4 linked regions of the Yarrowia lipolytica genome follow. The protein of the gene in region 3 interacts with the protein of the main gene of each other region in a pairwise test. Links are inferred from orthologs where the notes say so. Each region holds a gene or a part of one and is shown on either strand. Other genes may lie near its edges.

Evidence for each region.
Region 1: the proteins of YALI1_E35580g (region 3) and YALI1_B15692g interact in binary tests that used the Saccharomyces cerevisiae proteins (3 or more experiments, as listed by UniProt). The link is inferred for Yarrowia lipolytica from reciprocal best matches to the Saccharomyces cerevisiae genes RRP5 and BRX1.
Region 2: the proteins of YALI1_E35580g (region 3) and YALI1_B17908g interact in binary tests that used the Saccharomyces cerevisiae proteins (3 or more experiments, as listed by UniProt). The link is inferred for Yarrowia lipolytica from reciprocal best matches to the Saccharomyces cerevisiae genes RRP5 and UTP21.
Region 4: the proteins of YALI1_E35580g (region 3) and YALI1_D28518g interact in binary tests that used the Saccharomyces cerevisiae proteins (3 or more experiments, as listed by UniProt). The link is inferred for Yarrowia lipolytica from reciprocal best matches to the Saccharomyces cerevisiae genes RRP5 and UTP20.

The regions. Positions count from the first base shown.
Region 1 is NC_090771.1:1,567,194-1,571,078, reverse strand, and holds YALI1_B15692g (ribosome biogenesis protein BRX1), read right to left. Parts: upstream 1,823-3,885; coding exon 962-1,822; downstream 1-961. Other genes in the region: YALI1_B15706g (uncharacterized protein), read right to left, coding at 1-420; YALI1_B15703g (uncharacterized protein), read left to right, coding at 597-678, 721-953; YALI1_B15670g (uncharacterized protein), read right to left, coding at 2,957-3,885. UniProt on the Saccharomyces cerevisiae protein: Required for biogenesis of the 60S ribosomal subunit.
Region 2 is NC_090771.1:1,787,017-1,792,868, forward strand, and holds YALI1_B17908g (uncharacterized protein), read right to left. Parts: upstream 3,947-5,852; coding exon 3,848-3,946; intron 3,798-3,847; coding exon 1,017-3,797; downstream 1-1,016. Other genes in the region: YALI1_B17871g (uncharacterized protein), read right to left, coding at 1-142; YALI1_B17927g (uncharacterized protein), read left to right, coding at 5,738-5,852. UniProt on the Saccharomyces cerevisiae protein: Involved in nucleolar processing of pre-18S ribosomal RNA and ribosome assembly.
Region 3 is NC_090774.1:3,555,965-3,563,528, reverse strand, and holds YALI1_E35580g (uncharacterized protein), read right to left. Parts: upstream 5,552-7,564; coding exon 848-5,551; downstream 1-847.
Region 4 is NC_090773.1:2,849,146-2,854,638, forward strand, and holds the start of YALI1_D28518g (uncharacterized protein), read right to left. Parts: upstream 3,277-5,493; coding exon 3,235-3,276; intron 2,930-3,234; coding exon 2,652-2,929; intron 2,597-2,651; coding exon 1-2,596. Other genes in the region: YALI1_D28537g (uncharacterized protein), read left to right, coding at 4,503-5,493. UniProt on the Saccharomyces cerevisiae protein: Involved in nucleolar processing of pre-18S ribosomal RNA and ribosome assembly.

The sequences.
Region 1 (3,885 bases), on a different chromosome or scaffold from region 3:
ACTCACGACATCTTCCAACCCCTCATCCCCTCCACTACCCAACTCAATCACACCCTTTTCCTTCTTCACCTCCACAGATTGTCTTACACTCCCTAGCTCAGTGAGGGCAGCCTTGAGACCCGTAATCCTAGCCATCAGACCCTCAAACTCATCTTCGAATTTCTTCTCTTCCTCCTTGATCTGTTCATTCAATCGCTTGTCTAAGTCTTCGAAGTCCTTCAATTTGGCTTGAAGACCGTCAAGGAGGCTGTGAGCACTCTTGATCTCATTAACAACTTCGTTCTTCTCGTCTCTAAGAGGTTTCAATCGTATGTCGAGCTCTCTCCTCTGGGTCGACAGCTGCTGTTTGTGTTCTTCCAGCTCTTTTTCGAGAAACCCGAGAGCAATGTTTCGTGTTGACGTGACAGGTCGAGTGGCCATTCGATTGTCTCAATGATGTATCTGTTGTATCTAGGTTGTATATGTGAGTCTGGTCGTATTGGCGGACGTTTATATATTAAATGGTGGCACGGCCTAAGTGCCTCTGCTTTATTTACAGTGTGCCTTTTGTGTCTTTATCTTACGCTTGTTCGACGGTTAGTTACGCACACATGTCGATGTATCGTAAACACGACTTCTCAAGTGACATGTATGGATGTACTGTAGTGAGGATATACGATGCAGCAACATCAATTGTGAGTCTTCATATCTGACGAGTCTTCCCTGTATCTACCATTCTAGCTGTAACACTCCACAGAACAATACAGCCATTCCCAGTACCAGTAACAAGCCATATAGCCAAAGCTGCTACAAGTAAGAGTTGGTACTCCTCTACTGTCTATCAATCAAATTCATCATATCTATTAATGTACCTTTTCCTAGTCGGTCCGTACAGCCAGTCGACTCTATTATCAGTATCCTTCGCTCGAGCTATGCTGCTGCTCTCTAATACCCGCTCAATCTTGCACTTCTAGCCATTGGCTTACTTGAAAATCACAGAGTCAGCGAGAGGGTCAGCAGCAATAACAGCATCTCTGACCTTGACCTTTCGCTTGAAGGCAGCCTCGGCTCGGCTGGCGGCCTGCTCAGCGGCCTGCTGCTTCATCTGCGATCGGACAGTGTTAGGGGACACATACTGCTTGTTCTCGAAAATTACGGGGCCTCCAAAAGAGCCCTCAAGCATGGTGATGAGAGTCATGACAAATCGGGGACCAATCTCAACCAGAGAAATGTCGGTCTCTCGGGGGTTTTCTTCGTTGACAGTCTCCTGGATCTGGTAGTTTCGGAACCAGACCTTGTTGTCCACCAGCGAAAAGGTGAAGACGTGGTCGAAGAAGGGCTTGGACTTTCTGGCACCCTTGGGGACACCAAAGGTCTGCGTCAGCATCTCCTTGATCACGGCATTGTGAGGGGTGTCGTCAAAGCTGCTGTCGAAGGACAGAATAGGTCGAGATCCTCGCAGACAGTTGCCGGTGAAGTTGAGCTCGTCCATGGTATGCAGGTTCTGGATGTGGAACTTGGCGGTGGGACCGTTGGGAGCCTTGGCCATCCACATGTACAGATCCATATGCTTTCGGGCCTCAAAGTACAGAATGTTGTTGCAGTTGTACATCTCAGCAATCTCGTTGAGTTGGTACAACTTGGACTTGGTGTCGAGCTTGGACTCCTTTCGACCATGGGGAAGCATGGTCTGGAGATCGCTGATGAGATGTCTTTGTCGGAAGGTCACTCCTCGAGAAGTGATGATCAGCACTCGCTGCTTGTTGGTCACTCCATCGTCCTTCTTCTCGGTCTTCTCGGGCTTAGAGCTCTCGCCGCTCAAGGTCTTGTATAGTGTCGACATTGTGTGTGTAGTGTGTGTGTTGTGTGTGTGATGCTATACTGATTGGGATTTTATTTTCACGATTCATGCAGAAATATTTTTTAGGGTTAAACTCAAAATCCTTGAAGTGTGTCTTGAAACTTGGTGATGAATCCTTCATTTTGGTACAAGGGTAGATTTTGAATATATGCAAGAAAAAGACTTCTATTCTTTTGTAAGCTGGTCTTTCATTGGCTATACTTCAATTATTCAACTTTAGCGCTCATTTTGCCACCTGGAGGTGTGCAATTGTGCTGAATTTGAAAGCACAGCAGTCAGCATGTATGTTAGCTACAGTTATCAAAAGAACTGAACATTTACTCTACAAGTACAAGTTCAAGTATTTGTAACTACAAATTTTGATTAAAATCATGAGATGATTCAGCAACAAGCATCCCTGGTCAATTGCACAAACGAAGCGCTCTTTTCATCCATCATACCCAATGTCTGCGCAGCGTGCTCGCTCAAATTTCAAGACTCATATCGAGTCTAGTCGGAACACCAGAGTTGGGTTGGGGACGATGTATGTCCAGGTACCCTGCTCATACAAGTACAGTATATCCTAGGTGCAAAAAAAGAAGGTATTTGTCTTATATACCGGTACTAGCACATGTGAATCTATGTTTAGTCTCAAGTATATTCATTAACATGCCCTCAATCGTTTCTGTTTACTTTCAGATACTCCTTTGGTGCCTATGGTTCCACAGAATCCACAATGATACTGTAGAAGGGGACTACGTGAAGTAGAATAAAACCAGCTTTTCTGGAAACTTGTCTGTTCTATCACCTGTTGGTCATGTCAGTTTCCGCGTTCTTCACACCCACCCCCCTAATAATACAACACAATAAAATCATTGAAACAAGAGCGATGCGACCCTCAGTCCAGCAAACCACTCTGGAAATATTGAGAAACAAAAGACCTACAGTAATACAATTGTGGCATCTATAGAATAGGAAATTTAATATGTGCAACTGTCCATTCTCTCGACCTGTACTTCTACACGATTGTCAAAAGATATTATCATAGTCTACAGTAATTTATACAGATTGAAAGAGGGTCATTCAAATATGGAAGCTGGTGGTCAAAGATCATCCCCAGTCACTCTCTTCTACCTTCTAAAAGATGGTGGAACCGTTGGCAAGACCTCCGTAGAGCCAAGTACCTTCAAACTTGCGCCCTCTCTCCAGATCTCGACGTCCAATATTGAGAGTGCATAAAGAGATCCAGTCAAAGTAGGCCAGGTGGTTCTTGACAATGTCTAACCGAGCAAGAGCGTTAAAGTCCTTTCTGTAACAGCTCATACTCTCGGGACCGGCACAAGAGAAGACCTTGTTCAGAGGAGGCTGGACAGTGAAGTAATCAATGTAGATTTCTCCCACAGAGTGGACATAGTCCTTGAAAGCGGGGAATCCTACAAACAGATCGTTCCAGTGAGTCAGTCGGAAGTAACGTCTATCAGAATCCATGCTGAGACCATCTCCTTCGCCAAACCACTGCTTGGAGACAAAATTGGCAAAGTTGGCGTTTCCAATACGAGGCTGACCATAGGTGTAAAGATAGGGATCCTGACCGTTCACCTTGAGACTTGTAGCAGAAAGTACCGCAATAGCAGCACCCAGAGAATGACCAGTAACAACCAATCGATAGTCAGGGTTGCTGTTAACGTGATCAGCCAGCTTGTCTCCAATAATGCCCATGGTCTCATTGTAAGCCTTGTTCCAGCCGTCGTGAATAGTGCATCCCTCGCAGAGGTTTGCAGTCGATCCTAGGGCAGAAGGAGTGACGAGAAAGGGGCTTTGGGACAGTTGGATGTCGGTGTAGACGTCTCCGATGTCGTAGGTTCCTCGGTAAACCACATACTTCTCTTTCTTGACATGGTCAATAGAAAGAAATCCGGTGATGGAGGTTTCGAAAAACTCACCTCCAAACACTTCGACCAGCTCCATGTTAGGAAAGTGAGAGCATGCTACTCCGCAAGAGAAGTCAGATTTCAAAGACTCCAATGGAGTATTGATACAGTAGGCAACATTGGAGAGGTGGGAGA
Region 2 (5,852 bases), on a different chromosome or scaffold from region 3:
TGTCGATGTCGATCTGAGCAACGGGTGTCAAAGCTCCGAGCTTATAGAGACCGGTGCCACCGATGATACCGAGAGTGACGGGCTTGGAGTAGGAGCTGGCAAGAGACATTGGAGTGGCAACAAGATTGGGAAGGAAAGCCATGGTGAACGGGTGTTTTAAAGCGAATTAAAATTTGAGACGCAAGGTAGATAGTGATATTATAGGGATCAGGAGTGATGGACCGTCGTGATTTTTTGACCAGCGGTTCAATTGCTCCTAATTATTTGTTATTCAAAATTTCAGCTTGGTGCCACTTTTTTCCGTCCCGTTACATAGATCCTCTTGCAACGACAAAACACGCCCACGTGCCTAGGTTAGGGTTGTCGAAATATTAGACTACATGTGGAGAGTGTGGAGACGATCATAGAAGGGGAAACTGGAGGACGACATAGTTGAGACGGCTCTCGAAACGTTCTCGATAGGGGGAAAAGACAGTGATTAATAATGACCCTAATATAAGCTATTTGGTTCATTCTGCTATTCTCTGTGCCGCATCGTACCCTTCACCTGTCATCACTATAAGTACTGGTGTCTTCTCATACAATGCTTGTGGTTCCTTTGCTGCATATTTCACAGTGGCTGTGTGGCGCATGACGTAATATTATAGTGCTGTACAAGTATACACTCTACAAGTAGTACAAGTTCAGTCAGGATACCATGAACTTCTGCCTACAAAGGTACATTATACTACAAGACGTATTATCAACTGAACTGTGTATTGGCTGCTTTGGTCACGTAATTCGAGTGCTTGTTGTAAACGTGGTCTACAGTAACTACAAGCGCGGTATCATACTACCTTGTAGATGAAGGATAACTACGCTTGAACTTGGAAGTAACAATGTCTATCATTACTGTTACCTTTGCTATACCTACTGTATGGTGTACTGTGACACCTTCTCATCATATCTCTACTCCAGTATCCAAAAACATGCATTATTCTAACATTTTCCACCCAAACAGCCCTTATGGGTTCTGCTTAGTATCCAACTCGCAGATAGTTGATGACTCCCTGGCAGTACTTGACAATATCCTCCATTCTGTTGGACTCGTGCTGGTTGAGCTCCTTCCATCTGGTCAACGACCCCTTCAGAGGCTCACAGGGCTGCTGCTGAACCTCGTCCTCCTCTTCGTCCTCAACAATCTTAGGGTTGAGAGCAGACATGATAACGTCTCCATGGCAGCGCAAGAACATGTTCATCCATGCCTGGCCCAACTCGTAGTTGGTTCGCTTCTCTAGAACAGCTGCCATGGCGTCCACAAACGCAATCAGCTCGGTGTATGGAGCCCAGGAGTTGAGAGATCGGATCTCGAGATCGGTCTGGGCAGGAGACATACCCGCCAGATGGTCAATGAACTCATGGTACTCGCCGGACTGAGCAGCCTCTCGGAGAAGACGAGAAAATGCAGATTCTCCAATAGCATCGAAATTAGAGGGGACAAGTCCATCGGGGCATGAAGTAGCCTCCTCGGGCTTCTTGTCGGCACCGGTAAGCTGTAGGAAGAAAGGAGCCTGCTCAGGAGCCTTGGGGGCCTCCTTGGGCTTGTTTCGCATCTTGATGGTGTCCAAATGCACAAGAGTGTTCATCTTGGAGGAGGGAGCAAGAGACAGGGTCAGCAGAGACTCCTCGATCTGGGCAATCGAAGCAGCCAGACTCTGATCCTCTGTCTCGGTCTCCTCAAAGGCACCATCCACAACCGAGGATTGAGCCAGAGAGCCGACGGCATCAATCTGGGCAACCTCAGAAGACTCAATCTCGGGAGCAGGAGCAGACGAAATGTCTACAAACTGGCCCCGGTTGGACCACAAACACACACCGTTTCCGGTCACGTGAGCTGTGGCTAGCCAGTCGCCGTTTCTGCTCATCTCGACGTTTGTAGCTACAGTGTCGAGTCGAATAACATCGATACAGGCTCCAGTCAGCAGATCCCAGGTGCAGATGGTCGAGTCGAGAGATGCTGAAATAACCCACTTTGCATCGGGAGAAAAACAAATGTCGGTGATTTGGTTGGCGTGTCGGCCCTCCAGAACTCGAACCACTCGCTTGGTGATGGTGTCGATGACCACGACGGAGAAGTCGTCCAGAGCACAAGCAATGAGATCTGACGAGTCATGCAGAACCAGCTTGGTGATAGGAGCAGCGAGGGTCACAGTCTCGAGCAGCTTACCAGTGTGGAAGTCGTTGAATCGCACCTTTCGGTCCAGAGAAGTCGTGATGACTTCTCGGTTCAGCGAATCAACCACGATGCCTGTGATGGCCTTCTTCTTGGGGGTACCCTGTAGCTTGCGTCGCAGGATGCCTGACTGCAGGTTAAAAATGTCAACGGATCCAGTAGCAGATCCAACCACACCAAAGTTACCACACTGAGTCACAGTCACAGTCTGTGCGATGCCACCATCTGAAGTGGGCAATCTGTGAGCTCCAACTCGTCCTCGGTGTCCGTCCCAAGTCTGTGCCCAGTTCTCGCCCTTGTGAGTTGTCAGAATCGAGTCCCATTCCTGCTGTCTAAGCGAAGTCTGGGCTAGAGAAGTGACAGGAGGAAGTTTGACACGCATCTTTTTAGAGGGTCCGGCAGCTCGAGTTTTGCTGGCGAAAGGGTTGTTCTTCTGCTCCTCCGTGAGCTTGGACACCTGTGAGAATTCCTGGTTCTGAGCATCCTTTCGGAGCGAGAAGCGCCACATGGACGCGTCTCCGGAGGCTGAGACCAGAAAATGGGCCTCTTCGTCAACAAACTTGATCGATGTGGGGGGCGCACTGTGACCAGCTCGGTGTCTGAGGGCTCGCGGAGGTGCAATGACTGTTTTGTTGGACTCCGACATGACTGGATCAAACACCCATTCTCGCAGAGAGTTATCTCCACCGCATGTGAGGAAAGCTGGCATTCCGGGCAGGAAGACCAGCGATGTGATTCCTCCCTCACTCTCCTCGTGAGTCTCTCTCAGCACGTGGAGACGTTTCTGGGAATTGAGGTCAAAGAAGAAAGCATCTCCGGAGGCGGTTCCGACACCCAGATGGGCAAAGGAGTCCGACCGGAACGACAAGCAGTTGACCCGCGAGCCGGTGTGAAAGGCCATGAGTCGCTCACCCAGCTTGAGGTTGTAGACGTGCACCTTTCCGGATGCAGTTCCCACTCCAATGTAGTTCACAACGGGAGCGTCAACAATGGCGGTGATCTCGTCGTCAGATCCAATCTCGTTGGTGGAGAAAACAACTTTGCCTGTTCGAATATTCACCAGCAATAGAGACCGTCGAGTTGCCACCACAATCTTGTTGAGGTAGGTGGGGGGATGGATGATGGAGTGCGCAGCTCCCACAGAGTTGGCGAGAGTCACGGTGGTGTAATACTCAAACGGAGGGTCCAGCTCGTCTCTATCTTCCTCCTCGTCCTCGTCGTCAGACTGCTCCTCCTTCTTCTGGCCTCGCTTGAAGACAAAGATCTGTGAGCTGTTGATGGCCACCAGGTTCTCTCCGAAAGATCGCACACACACTAGCTTGTCCTTGGTGTCGCACTCCAGCTTGTACAGTAGCTTACCACGGAAGTAGACGCCAATACAGTTGTCCCAGGTGGCATAAACGTAGGGTCGGTGGAAATGAAGCGACTGGATGGGCGCGGGGGTCTGAGGAGAGGTTACAAACATGAGATGGAGCGTCGAAACATCGTAGATCTGAACGGCTCGGCCCACACTGCATGCAACCAGGAAGTTTCGGCCGAAAGATGACACGGAAATAGGTGTGGAGTTGGCAACATGTCCAATAGTCTGTGTTAGTTTGGTGATGTTGGGTGTAGTGATGGGGGTGTAGTACTCACTCTGAAAGGCGTGAAGATCTTAGAGGGGGTTCCGACAAGTCTGTCACGCACAGTGACCTCGTCAGACTCCACTCTTCGCTTTTTTTCAATCGCAGGCATCGTTTTAGAGCGGGTGTCGGAACGCTATGATTTGTGTGATGCAGCTTGGAAAAAAATATTTGGGTCGTGCATGCCAGAAGTTTATTTGGATGGGTCATAATCTGTACAGTATATGAGGATATGTAAGAAGTTAGGATGAGATGCAGAAATGATAGTAGAAGTATACCGAGAGTATTCTTCGTGTTCTTTTTTAGTGATAGTGGAAATAACTGGTTCTGTTTATATTTTCAAGTTGGGCGATAGAGTTCGGTTTCAAGTGAAGGGAAATTTTTGTTGGATTTTTAGTTGGTACTTGAAGGACTGTCTATGAAAAATGTACGTACGTACTATAAAAATAAGTACTACTTGTGGTGGTGTTTATAAAATACAATAAAATAAAATAAAATAAAATAATGCTCCTCTTTGTGCAGCTCTGTAGCATTGTTAGCATCAGTAGTGGACACTCGACTCTGAAACATCCGAAAGGCTTTATATATATAATATATATATATATATATATTATATAATATATATATTCTACAAGTAGCACATAGAGCACTCAAAGTACAAATAAGTACATACTGTATATCATACTGTATGGTACTTACAGTGCTCTGTCTCACTACAAGTGTGCTCGTAACAATTACTTCTAAGTAAGACGTGCAAAACTATATCGGAAGATCCAAATTGGAACGACTGGTGGAAACGATTAATAACAACGGGATGTGTGCGACCCAGCAACTTGAGATGCCGACACTGTCTATATAGAGCCCTCCTTCTACACCACTGTAACATTTGGCCTTGCGCTCACGATACGTCTGTCTTCTTTGCATGTGAGCGGCAACGAAACTTTGGCTCCACAATAGCGAGCACGTGGATAGATACAATGGAGTAGATTGAGGGGACTGTAAAGCCACTATTGTGGGGTATTATAGTAGGTGGGAGTTTATTGAATTGGAGACAGACTGAGAATTGGTCATTCTATATCTCAATCTGTCGATATCACCCAGTATATATCGGCTTAAGGTCTTCTGTGCTATGCTATATCAACCCACCAAACAAGGCGAAGCTGCTGCATAGACGATCGAGCTGTGGAGACGGTATCGTACAGTAGATAACCGGAAGAACTCAGATGGGGGTGGCTTGCCAAGAGTATACGTCACTCACTCATAAAACAAAAGAATAACTACAAGTGGTCTAATCAATTTTACCACTCCAAAAACAGCCAGAGAACATTTCCCAATCAGCTGCTTGTAGCTCCAGTCCAGTAGAATGGCTCGCTGCACCACGCTGCCTATGCATCTGGTGTTAGCCAAAACCATAAGCAGCGAACAGCACAAACGGGAGTATTAAAAGTTGTTTTACCAGAGACCGATGTCGGATCTTAAAAGGTCAATCGCTGTAAAACTTCCTTTGAAATCGATTTCTTTTTTTTTCATCTTTCTACCCCCTCTCCTTGTCATCCAAACTCCACCCCAGAATCATTGCTTCGATATTCCCAATTGTCGAGCGCAGCATTAGTCTGAACCCTAAAGCTGATCTCGTCGACATCGGGTCTACCTCTCACACATCTTCACACCACCCACCACACCCCCCCCCGTGGAAAAATGTTCAGAACCGTCTCCGACCGTGTCGGCCTCGGCCCCCGCATCCTCGTACGAGCCCTCGGACTCGTCCATCTCCACGTCGTCAATAAAGGCTGCTGTTGAGGGCCGAGCCCGACGGTCCTCTTCCTTCTCTAGCATCAGAGCTGCCTCTGGTACCCCCGACCTGTCCAACCTTCCCAAGATTGGCAAAATTGGTGTCTGTGCGATGGACGTCAAGGCCCGATCCAAGCCATGTCGGCACATTCTCAACAGGCTGCTGGACACGGGCGAATTTGAAACCGTTGTCTTTGGAGACAAGGTGATTTTGGACGAGCCCATTG
Region 3 (7,564 bases):
ACATGTATGTCAGAAACCAGATCCGTCTTAGTCAGCAGTTCAACTCAGAATGCCATGAATCGACAAACCAACCGACAGCGCCCCGCAGCGCACATCGCAAAGATTCAGAAGTGTATGATTTATTGAACGCAAATAACCCGGCTTACTACAAGTAGGTATATAGCTGTAATGAATCATGAGAATAAAAAAATAAAAAAATAAAAAAAACCGAGTCCGATATTCGGGTATAACATTGTTTGTAGGCATCAAGTAGTTGAAATGTATTTCCATAGAAAAATAATAAAAAAATTCCTTCTACCAGCAACGTGTGGATCCCCCCATGGCCCTGATGTCCGAAGTGTAGATCGATAATCTCTTATTCCTTCTGCCGATAACGCCCCGTGAGGCCATGGGCAATTGGCACAAGCATTTCACTGTCATGAAGAACTATGTTTGGATGGCCCTGCTCGATCAGGAACGCGACCCCAAACATGAACTTTGGCTACAAGCAAACCAGCTACCAGGCAATCATAACAGGATAAATGCCCGGAGGGCCGAAAAGCTCCACATGCTCCGACTGTGTCGTCTTCCTGTCTTCAGATACCCGGCCCAGGCCACAATGGAGGATAGTGTGCTAGTTGAGGCTCAGTTTGACCTCATGAACTTCATCCGAGAATGGGCTCACGCCATCTGGCGTTTTGAGGCATTGTGGGCACGGACCCACAAGTCAAGCAGGACCACCGGTACTTGTTCCAATAGTCTTCGCTTACTGCTACTATATACAATACAGGTACAAGTCTTAACGTAATTCTATCATTAATAATCAATTAATACCAATACTATCACAAACCAACAATCCACCGTTCTTTTACTCATCCTCCTCCTCATCCTCCTCCTCATCCTCCTTTGTTCGCTGAGTAACGTAATCCGCCGCCTTGGCCTTGACGTACTCGGCGGCCTTGTCGTCGTCAGACTCAACCTCGTACTGGTACCACTTCTTGAAGAAGAACTTGGCCTGCTTGAGAGACAACTTGGGCAAGGCAACAACTCGCTCAAACAGAGCCTCGATCTTGGTCTTGTCCTGGCCATACTTGATCTCAAAGTCGACAAACTGAGACCACAGATCGGTTCGCTTGGGGTAGACAGACACCAGACCCTCCAGAAGAGTTCGGCCTCGTTCAGCATCTCCAGACTTGTACTCAAGCTGGGCGAACTTGATGGCACACTGGAGATGGTCTCGCTTGGGCAGGGCCTTGGTGGCTCGATCCAACAGAACTCGGCCCTTCGCAGCCTGCTCGTTATCAAACAGGAAAGTGGCGTACTTGATCCACGCCTCCATGGAGCCAGAGAACTTCTTGACAGCTTTGGCATAGACCTCGTCTGCCTTGTCCTTCTTGTCAGAAGCAGCGTAAATGTCAGCCATCTTCATGTAGATGGTCTCGGCGTCCATGTACTGAGCAGCGTCCTTGAAGGTCTTGTCGGTGGACTCGGGAGTGCCAAAAGTGTTCTCCAAATTGAGAAGAGCGAGCCAGACGTTGAGTTTCTCATCCTCATCTCGGTAAGAGATGGTCTTAAGAGCACGCTGGGCAATCTCTCGAGCCTTCTCAAGCTCGGAGAGCTGCATGACGAAAGACATGTAGGAGATCCACAAAACAGAGGAGTTGGGGTTGCCAACAAGCAGACGCTCGTAATCACCAACAGACTGAGGGGTGGCAGTCGAAAGATCAGCAGTGATGTCAGCAATCTGAGTCTTTCGCTTCTTTCGAGACTTGGGGGCATCATCTTCCTCGTCAGACTCATCATCGTAATCAGAACCATTCTGCTCCTCCTCCTTTCCGAAGACGTCTCCCGACCAGTCAAAGCCAACATCCATGGCAGTGGACTTGGCCTTCTTCTGCTGCTGCTTGGTAGATCGAATGGTGGGGATAGACTCATCCTCAGAGTCGTCCTCGTCCTCATCATCCTCACTGTCTTCCTCATCCTCCTCGGAGTCCTCTTCGACCTCCATCTCGATATCGCTGTCCTCCTCGTCATTGTCATCCTCATCACCCTCGAAGTAGGCAGCCTTCATTCCAAGCGAGACCTTGCTGCCCTCAATCTTGAGAACAATAACTCGGACCTTGTCACCCGAATTAAAGAGCTCTGAGCAATCACCAACAGGGGTGTCGGCAATCTCGGATCTATGACACAGACCAGTAGCGTCTCCAATGTTGACAAAGACACCATAGTCGGTAGTTCGCTGGACAGAACCGTCGTACTTCTGGCCAACAGTGAGATCCTGGGGACCCTCAATGAGCTTGTCACCAGTCATATGACGCTGCTTGAGAGACATGTCGGGGAGACCCTTGTCAGAGAAGCCCATGATTCGACCAGTGACGATTTGACCGATCTTAAAATACTTCTTCCAGTCCATGAGGAAAGAGTCGGACAAGTTAGTGATCTTGACTCGAGCATCGATGCCGTGGCCAATAGCAACGAAGATACCGGCAGCAATACCAGTGACGACACCCTTGACCTTGTCACCTCGCTTGAGGGGGAGCGAAGGGAGAGGATCGACACCCTCCGGGTTCTTTCGAATGCAAATGGCGTAGGGCTCCTTGGCAGAGCAGATGACAGCGGGAACAGTCTCACCAATGTCGTAGACATTGCTGAGCTTGAGAGAGTAATCATCGACAGCATCCACAAGAGAGGCTGTGGCAGTGGAGGACTTGCCATTGACGTTGATAGTGCACTGAACGTAGTCAACCTCAATCTTCTTGACTCGAGCAGTCACCTGAGCACCCTGAAGTCCGTTGGAGGCGGGCAGCGCCTCTTCTGAGAAGCCCTCAGACTTTTCCTCGGACTGAGCTCCTCGAAGCTTGACTTTGTCACCCTCAATACCGCAGACAGAAACCTCGACAAGGTCACCAACAGCATCAGCGAAGTCAGCCTCCTGAACATCAGCTCGATCCAGACGGCCGACAATGTAGGCAGACAGAGCCACCCAAATGGAGTCCGCAGTAGACTGAACAACGACACCAGGGTAAGCCTTGCCCTCCTCAAGATTATTGATAGAAAGTCGAACATCGTTAGTAGCCAGCTCGATCTGATCACCCTGAGAAGAGGGACCAAGTACGGTCACAGAGATCTTATCGTCCTTCTCAACAGGAGTTTCGAGCTGAGAGAGTGAGATTCGACCGTTCTGGTTGTCGGAAAGACGGACAGAGACGAAGGAGGGGAGAACAGCAGTAACAATACCCTCGGTCTTCTTACCCTCAGAGTAGTCAGCAATGGTAGAGATGCTGGGGTCAACGGGGTTGACGGCAGGACCATTGAGAGACTTTCCAATAGAGACCGCAAACTTGTCGCCGTTGACAGAAGTCACTCGACCCTTGACAACCTGGAACTTGTCATAAGAGTCATCACTAAGAGATGCCTGAGGAGCAAGACCGACAACACCTGCAAAAGACACAAAGACACCGTGCTGGTTGACGTTCTGGACCCAACCGGTGACAGTTTGGCCAACAGAAGGAGTCTCCTTGATCAGAGTCTTGTTATGGTATCCCTTGATGATGTCAGGATGAGCACCGAGAGTCATAGAGCTCATCCACGGCTGCTTGGCAAGGACAACGCACTCCAGCTTGTCTCCCACACGCAGCTTCTTGTGACTAGGAGGGAGCAGGTTTCGAGGAACAACGCCAGTGAGATCGACATCACCAACGGTCATCTCGATAACAAAGTCACCTCGTTTGTCAATGATCTTACCGGTAACAAGGTCTCCAAGAGAGATGCCCTCGTAGGCACCAGAGACATGCTCAGCGGCAACCTTGGAGAGCTTGCAGGAGACCTGCATAGACTGCTTCTCAGGGTTGATATCCAGAATTCGGATCTTGACGGTCTGGCCAACTCGACAATGCTTGGTAATGTCAGCGATGAAAGCCTCAGACACCTCTCCAGCAGGAAGCCAGGCCTGAGAGTTGTCCCAGAACTCGACGACACACCCTCCAGGCTTGACATTTACAACTGTTCCAGAACCAATGTCGCCAATCTCAGACGCGTAGGAGATAAAATCGTCCTTAGGCAAGTTGTAGAGAGACTTTTTGATGGTCATTCGGCAACCGCTGCTGTCCACACCGAGAAGTCGGCCCTTTATCTTGGATCCAATCTTGAATTTGAGCTCGGGGTTGGCCATCTTGGCATCAACAAGATGAGCAGCAGGCACAACAGCGGTGATGAAAGATGACAGTGCCACGATAATACCGCCCTTGGGGAGATGCCTAGTTACAGTACCTTCGACCTTGTCACCAGCAGACAAATCACTGGTGGCAATGTACTTGGCATCCATGACAGACTGCTCACAAGACAAAACGTACATCTCGTCCTGGGGGGCAAAAGCGATAATTCTGGCATCAAGAGTCTGGCCAACCTCGTAGTCGGCTGTAGAATCGGTCTTCTCATCAGCGAGCTTGGAGATGTGAATGAAACCAGGAATGTTCTCGGCGAGCTCAACAAACAGACCGTGCTGAACGACATGAGTGACCTTGACGCCCAGAACTTGTCCAGGAAGGAAAGCCTCACCGATTCTGGGGTCAGCATCCTCCAAGTTGACGACGTGGGGCAGAGCAGAGAGAAGCATTCGCTTGCCGCTGGCACCACGGTCGAGAGTAGCGACAACTCGGGCAACAGAGCTAGTCTTTTCCTCAAGGCCAAAGGATCCCTGGAAGGGATCAATGGTGGCATCAACGGAACCGAAGACGGAAACCACTGCTCCGTTATTTCGCTTATCGGTGGTGACGACTGTGACTGGGGTACCAGCGACAGCGCTGGAGAAGTCCTCTAGTTGCCGGACGGCCTCACCGGTATGCTCTGTGTCCAGGGTGATTGTTCGGCCACTGATTCGAAGCACGCAAGCCAACACGATTTGTCCCTTGTTGAGTTCAACGTCGGTGTCCTTGATAAAGCCCTTTTTGCCCTTGATACCGGTAGCAACAACGTAACCCTTATCCTCCTTCGACTTGACCTCAACCTGCAGAGCCATGTTTGCGTCAATGTCACTGTCCTCAATATCCCTGTTGACATCCTTGGGCAGCAGACTGAGACCCAGACGCTTGTTAGAGGTATCGACGACAGAAGCTCGAACCCACTGTCCCTCCTTGACGTAGTCCGAAAGGTCGAACTCCTCGCCCTCCTCGATTTTGGCGTTGAGTGCCTCACTGACCTGAACACAAGACACGAAACCATGCAGGTTGTTGGGCAGCGAAACGACACAAGCGGTGGACTGGATATTGACGATTCGTCCGAGAATAATGGAACCAACAGAGATATTGTCCAGAGAAAGAGACTGGATCGCAACAATGTCGCTCGTCACAGCCTGCTTTGCCTTTCTTCCACCCTTCTTCTTGGAGCTCTTGGCGGCCTGTGATTCCTCGAACAGGTCCTTCGCAGCTTCATCGGCAGTCTGTCGAATCTCCATGGCAGACAGCACTCCAGCTCCTCCTCGGGGGAACGCGCCCTCCTCCATCTTGAGGCTTGACTTGTATTCCGGTTTTTCTGATTTCGTCTTCTCAGACACCTCAGAATGCTTTCGTTTCATTTTCGTATGATGTATGTGTGCGAGAGTAGCACCAATGGACTGAAATTTATTTTACCTACAATCCCAAATTTTTTGCACCTTGCATGAACCCTGAACCTTATCATGTTCCACAATTGGTGGCGGTGGTGGATACTGGAGGATTGTCGCATAAATTTGGGAGTTCGGCAATGGTTTTGTACAAGCCGTCAAGCTGGATTAGTAACCCAGAGTTAGAAGAATGTATCTGAGAAGACAGGCTCCATATATAACTATGTAGGCGGCACGGCCCCCAGGCTGGTTGAGGTTGATAGGTAGGGGGGGTACGGGAGTGGTGTGGCGCTTCTTGTAGTGTTCCTACCTGGAGTATGTACATACTGTAGTGGAGAGAGACGAATAAGGATATTTCTGGGCTACAGTAACAAACTCAAGTCAAATTATTGGTACAAATTCGACGGTAAGACCGTAGAAGAGAAGCCCATGAGGCAACAGCCCTACAACCGGATAAAGCCAAATGTTTTAGATACTCTGACATATTAATCTCTTAATGGAAAGGAAAGTAACAGATTAATTATATATTTTTATTCTAATGATTCATTACAGTTATATACCTAGTAAGCCGGGTTATTGGCGTTCAATAAAATCATACAAACTTCTGAATTCTTTGCCATATGTGGCGCTGGGGGGGCGCTGTCGGTTTGGTTTGTCGACGCTTCGTCTAGTTGATGTCATTTTCGTGGTCTCGTGGTAGTGAATCATGGCTAACAGATCAAGAAATCAAATCAATCGTTTCATGTCTTATCCAGACTCGAGGTTGCCGCTGGTCTGAGCTGAACTACTGACTAAACCGGATCTGGTTTCTGACATGAAAGAAATTTCGCCTTCGTGGCCAAGTGGTAAGGCGCAGCACTAGTAATGCTGAGATCATCAGTTCAAATCTGGTCGAAGGCAATTTTTTTGGTCTACAGGACTTATTAAAGTAACTTGAGCATCCTCAATAAATGATTAATGTTTTGCTACTTGATCGGTGGGATTACCCTTATGGTCACTGTAACTCGCAAATGTGTTTTTTCACGGACGTATCTTTCTCCATGACATCATCCAACGGCGTCTCTCTTTTCCACAAACTTCCATCTACATAGACACCGCACCTTGGTGACAGAGTTCAATGATTCGGTTGCTGCTGCAGGCCCCAACGGCGCCAATATATAAATATCCAGTCTCTCTGAGCGAATACTCTTTCTTCAACACCAAAAACAAACCCACACTACATTCCCAATGAGCGACAAAATCCCCACTGCTTCCGGCTCTTTTCCCTCTGGAGTTGTTCCCTCCGACCCCGTTCCCGACTGCAAGGACAAGAAGGAGACCACGCAGGGCTCTTTCCCCGCCGGTGTCGCCAAGGACAAGCAGTAAATCGCTGAAGTAGATTTGTTTGAGGCTATCGGCAGCGGCCTGGCGACTGGATCAAACGATACATATGTTGATACGGGTACAAGTACAAGTACACGTTGGAACGTCTTCTGAACGTCACCCTTATTTAATGAATGAATAGACCATCTGAATCGATGAGGTATACCAGTACAAGTACAAGTACATGGAGTCGGAGTTGGTGTGGATATGAGGAGTGCCATGAGAGAATAAAGGCGCTCTGATGCCTGGAGTGATCTGCTACTTGTACAAGTGCTTGTACACTACGTCGCTTACATACTCCTATCCAATACGATTTCAACTCAACGGTAAAGCTATATACACTTCCCGATTAGGGTAGAAGCCATAGTAGTTCAGAATATGTGGCAACCGAAATGAGAGGCAAAAGTCATGTTTTCTTCGGGGTGTCATCGAATTTACTTCTGAGATATACTCCAGTCGTTGTTTAACTTGGTCTTCACTCAAACAAACATTTACTATCACGAAGGTCATATCCCTAGGCACCCCTAATGCACCTACTTGTAGAATCACGATACCGACGAACTTTATCTGCGTTGTTCTTCCAGAACCTCTCCCATACACTACTTGTAATAGCTACAATCTGCA
Region 4 (5,493 bases), on a different chromosome or scaffold from region 3:
TGCCAGAGAAACAAACATGCGAGTGTACTTTTCGGGTAGAGCCAGAAGAGTGGAAAGCACCGCGAACCGCTTTCCGTACCGCGGTCCACTCTTGCTGACCACTCGAGATCGTCCGTAGAGAATCCGGAGCGCCAGAGGGAAGATGACATGCTCGTCGTCTTCATGCAAAACTCGGTCCTTTGAGGGCTTGAGGAAGCTCAGCATCTCGTCCTTGAATTGCGAGTCCTCCAGCAAGTTGAACAGATTGTCCTTGTACTTGCGAACCACCTTGTTCTTCCAGGATAGGATGCACTGAAGAGCTGCCTTCTGAACAGAGTTCATTTTGTTGGTCAGAAGCAGCAGGTATCTCTGATAAATTTCCTCGGCTCGAGGACAGTTCTTGGTGTTGTGAAACAGAGCAAAAATGTCCAGCAACACAATCTTGTCCTTGAGGGTCCACGAGTCGGCAAGTCCATACTCGGAAGACTCAACAGCCTGCTTATCTCGAGAAACACCCTCAGTCCAAAGAAGATAGGGAACCAGCTCCATCACATGGTTCTCAGACACCCGAGGAACAGCCTTGAGCACCTTCAGCACATTGTTTCGCAGGTAAAAGGGCTCCTCAGCAGGGAAAGCCGACTCGGAAAAGTCCTCAAACAGAGCTCCGTTGCTATCGCGAGAAACAAGCTCATTGTACGTCTCAAACAAACCATTCAAGTTATAGTCGGGAGACATGGAGTCGGTGAAGGGGCTGTCCAGAACATGACGTGGCTCGGGCACCCAGTCGTCATCAACCTTGACCAGGTCACGTGCCTGCAAAACGTTGTAGGACAACTTCCACACCAGCTCCGGAAATCGTTCGGCAACATTCTTGAGGGCCTTGATGGCAGCCTCGTGAGCTGGCGTAAAATGAACAGTAAGAAGTCCAAACAGGAAATGAGGCACTGCTGAATCAGCAATCGTATCTGACCCAGACAGGGAGAAGGTTTCTCCGAGCTTCTCGATTCGCTGAACAAGAGACCGCAACGTGGTATAATCAAACGGAATGGATGAAATGACCTTGCACTCATTGACGAGCGCGTTCTGGCCACGTGACAGCTTCGAAATGAGGCTCAGCGTCACGTCCCGCACGTGGGTGTTTGCGGAGGTCAGGTTCTGGGTCAGCAGCACCAGTGACGAGTCATCCAGCTTGGTTGAAGAGTCACAAATGGCCAGCAGACCGGTAATGTAGCCTTCGATTTGTGAAAAGTGTTCCAGGCGGCCCAGGGCTCGTTCCACCAGCTGCTTATCGTCTCCCAATGACCCAATCAGACTCAGAGTGACTCCGTAAAGAGCTCCAGTATACACGTCGTCAGCGGAGAGCTTGGGGAGTAGCTCAATGGCAAACTCGGTCATCTCCTTCTTCATATCGACATTAGAAAGTTTGGTGAACATTCTGATTCGCCAATAGAGGTTGAAGACTGTTTCAGTGGACATGTTCTTCTTGCCAAACGCTACAATCTCCTTCTTCAGAACCTTGCAGGCATCCAGACACTTGATCTTCTCCAGACTGTCGACAAAGAGTGCAATCTGCGAAAGATCATCAGAGAACATGCTGATCAACTGAGGAATGTACTTGACACAGATATCGGTGAACCGTTGACTCTGGACCTTGGCAAGAATTTGGAACGCCACAAAGTATTGCTCACGTGATTTGGACGACAGAGTGGTGAGCAAGGACGTATGGTTGGCCAGCACATTGCTCTGGGCGCCGTTCTGGATGAGCGAGACCACCAGGAGCGCGAACTCGACAATGGCCTTGTCGGAGAGAGTGGAGCAGAAAGCCTTGGCCTCCTGGAAGACTCGAGCCCAATCAGGAACTCGGGAACCCTTTCGGATGGCGGTTATAGTAGTCAGATAGGTCACAGTATCGTAGTTACCGTTGCCTTGGGCATACTGGTAAAAGGTATCAAACACGGCCTGGCCCATGACAGGGTCCTCAATATGCTCCAGCACAACGGCCAAAGTCTCTGAAATCATGGTCACGTGTACTCGGTCGGCCTCGGTGATTGTGTTGTCGTCACAAGCCGCACATGCAAATAACACTTGAAGAATCAAGTCCGTCTTTGAATGAAGAGCTCCCTTGGTGTGTTTGATAGACGCAGCAAACATGGCGGAGACGGCAGAGACGTAATCTCGTGACGAGCCCTCCAGCGTGCTCATCACGTGCGGCACGATCACGTCCAGACCGTCTTGGGAGCACTTTCGGATCAGAAAGGCCAGTGTTTCCGAGGCAAATCTTCGCACAAACGGTCTGATTTTCTTAGGCTTGGGCTTGTCATCCTCCTCGTCGTCAGAGTCTTCCTCCGGGATCTCCTCCTCGTCTTCTTCTCCGTTCTCAATCATCTGCACATCTTCATCTCCTCGGGACAAAAGTACACTGACGCTGTCGTACAGGGGCACCAGGTTGCTAGTCAATAGACGAGCCAGGTACTTGAAAATGTACACCATTGCGTTGAAAGTGTGCTCGACCACCTCGAGATTGAAGTGGTAGGTGAGATTGATGAGAAGTGCGAGAGTTCGGGGGAAGTATGGCTCGAACTCCTCGCCCAGGTCGCGGACAAAGTTGGTGAGTAGACTGGGTTAGTTCTGTATCGGGGACTTCCTCTCCATCCTCCATTTCTCATACTCACTCTAGCAGGGCCTCCACACTGTGTTCATTTCCATCCTCCAGACACTCCTCCAAACCATCGAAAATCTCCTCCTTGTGGAACAGCACCATGGGCAGCGACACGGCGTACTTTCCACATTTTTCCATAAAACGAGTGAAGCTGGTGGACAAGTTCAGCTCAACATGGGTCGTGTAACATGCAATGAAATGCGACGTGTCCGTGTCCCGCGACAGCTTTTTCTTCTGCCGTTTCAGCGGATCGATCTTGATGGCATCAAGACGTTCTCGGAACGATTTGAACTGCATTAGTATGGAATTGAATGTCTCAGCCCAACAGCTGATCCGGTAGGTCTAACGTATCTCCTGGAGCTATGATCCTGGCGGTGGCGATCGCCCAGTAAGCACAGCTAGTGACATCAGTATGCTCGTACAGACCCATGAAAACCGTCTACGATACTTGTAGCTCGAATCGATCTCCAAATTGCCACCCAGATCCGTCTTCGGCTACTGTTTGCAGATCCACATGGAATGGCGCTCCACTCCTCTCACAATCGCTCTAGAGGCGGTCCAACAGCTCATGTGCCCTCCATGTCGCCCATACTCACTCGGTGGTTTTTACCCGACTCGGTTCCAGTTTTAAGAACCATGTTGGACCGTTTCTGAAATTTCGTAGATGTCTGTTTCAACCTCTCGAAAAAAAATATCTTTTAGACTTGCAGTATGCATGTGCGGGTTAGGGTTAGTGGTGATGATAGTACTGTACCCAGGGTGGTTCGGAGATGTGAGTTCGATTCTAGTGACTGTTTTGTGTTTGAGGTGTTTATTTTGGTGTTTAATTTCAGTGGTGTTTTGGTAGTCACATATTGGTGGCTACTGAGCGGTAGATTTCAAGTAACTTGGTAGTTGGAGGGGTTGTCAAGTAACTGAACGGTATTTTAACACTGTTTTTTTGCTAATTTTTTTCCTAAAAAGTCTTTTTTTTTTCTTTTTCAAGACAGTATTTTTTAACGCTGTTCTTTCCGCTTTTTTTTTTTTTTTTTTTTTTTTTTTTTGTTCTAAAAAGATTTTTTTTGTTTTTAATATTTTTTTTCTGTATTATTTTTTTTTTTTTATTTTTTTTTATTTTTTATTTTTTTTATTTTTTATTTTTTATTCATTTATTTATTCCATTTATTTATTCATTTATTTATTTGCACAGTCCTAGTGCTCCTACCCTTCGAGACTGCGGAGTCTCTCACACCTCAGACTGACATTCTCCAACTTCCACATTGCAACTTCACCATTGCAACTTCAACATTGCCCGGTTACACTTGACGAAAGCACTCGCCAGATAAAACAGCGCTAAAACGACTATGGATCGCTTTATCCACATGGCAACAAGTCTAGAACTAGCGTCGAGTGGCTCCACAAGCGTCGATAATCGCCGTGAAACTTAGCCTGTTCCACTAGCTTCGGTATCGGTGGTTCTAGACTGCTCCTAAACGGTCCATGGTGTGGCCTTAGCTGTTCTCTACACCACCCAACTAGTTGTAGGGCTCTGTTTACGAGCTCCTCTAGCCGTCGATAGTGTCGTATCTTCGACTCTCTACACGAATCTATGTCCAGCCTATCAACAGACGACCCACCTCTTTTTTCCCCCATGCTCGTATATATTTGGCCGATTATGCAACAGGGGACACCTGTCCACAAATGGTCCTGCAGGGAGGCCGATAACTGAGGGCTATCAGTCTCTTTTCGGTTGCCCTTTCTTCCGCCTAGTCCGCAAGTGGTTCGGAAATGGCACTAAGAGATAAAAAAAAAAAAACCCCCAGGGTAACATGAGCAAGATTTACCGTTGGGGGGGAGGTGGAGAAGCCGTCCATAACAACACCCAATGTTGCCCGAGCTGATTGAACGAATCTGCAGTTATCTCGAGCTGGCAGACATTGTTGCGCTGCGAAAGACCAACCGCCACTACCGCCAGTCCATCTCCGAGTCGCTGGTGCGGGACAAGCTGATGCAGCAGTGCCCCTACTACCGCCTTGAATACAGCCAGCACGGGAGCTGGAGGACCGGCGGCGCCCATTACGTGCGCGACAGACACATTGACGTGTTCATTGACCTTGTGGAATGCTCCTTCCACACTGACTCGCCTCTGCCGCGCGACTTTGAGTGCCTGTGTACCGACGTGGAACGCACATTTTCGTGGGACTACAACAACCGGGGCATTTGCTTCAACGAGAAGCAGCTGGACCTCAGCGATCTGAACACGGACTTTGCTGTGCCTTGCAACTACGGGGTGAGCTTTGGAGATGCAGGAACAACCATCAAATACCACGGGTTTGGGGTGACGGTCGAGGGACGGATGATTCAGGCCAGACACACGTCCCGGGCCATTGCAGCAATATCTGTGCATCAGGGCCATTTGATGTTGACGGTCAAGTACCCCAACAAGGCTCCTGAGTCGATCAAAATGAACTGCAAGCCTCCCTTGCGGCTGCAGGTGATCGGAGACTGTGTCTATGTATTTGGAAGACACGATCATACCTCAGTCCTGTACTTGATCACTCCTACACGGTGTTCAGAGATGCTACACGCTCAACGGCGACAGCCTCCTGCCGGCATGGTTCTTTACGATGGAAATGTCTACAATGTCGATATGGACGGACGATACCGGTGTTCGGTCACCAGAGTCACTCACAGGATCACGTCCGACAGAAACAGACCCCCAGACAAGTTCCACAGAGTGTACCAGGACGAGAAGCATTCGCAGTACTGTTTGATATACAAGTCCACGGGTCTAGTTACTGGCATTGTCGATTTGAAGAAGCGACAGAAGAGCATCCTGTCGCAGATCTCCAGCGACATTTTCGCCGACTACAACG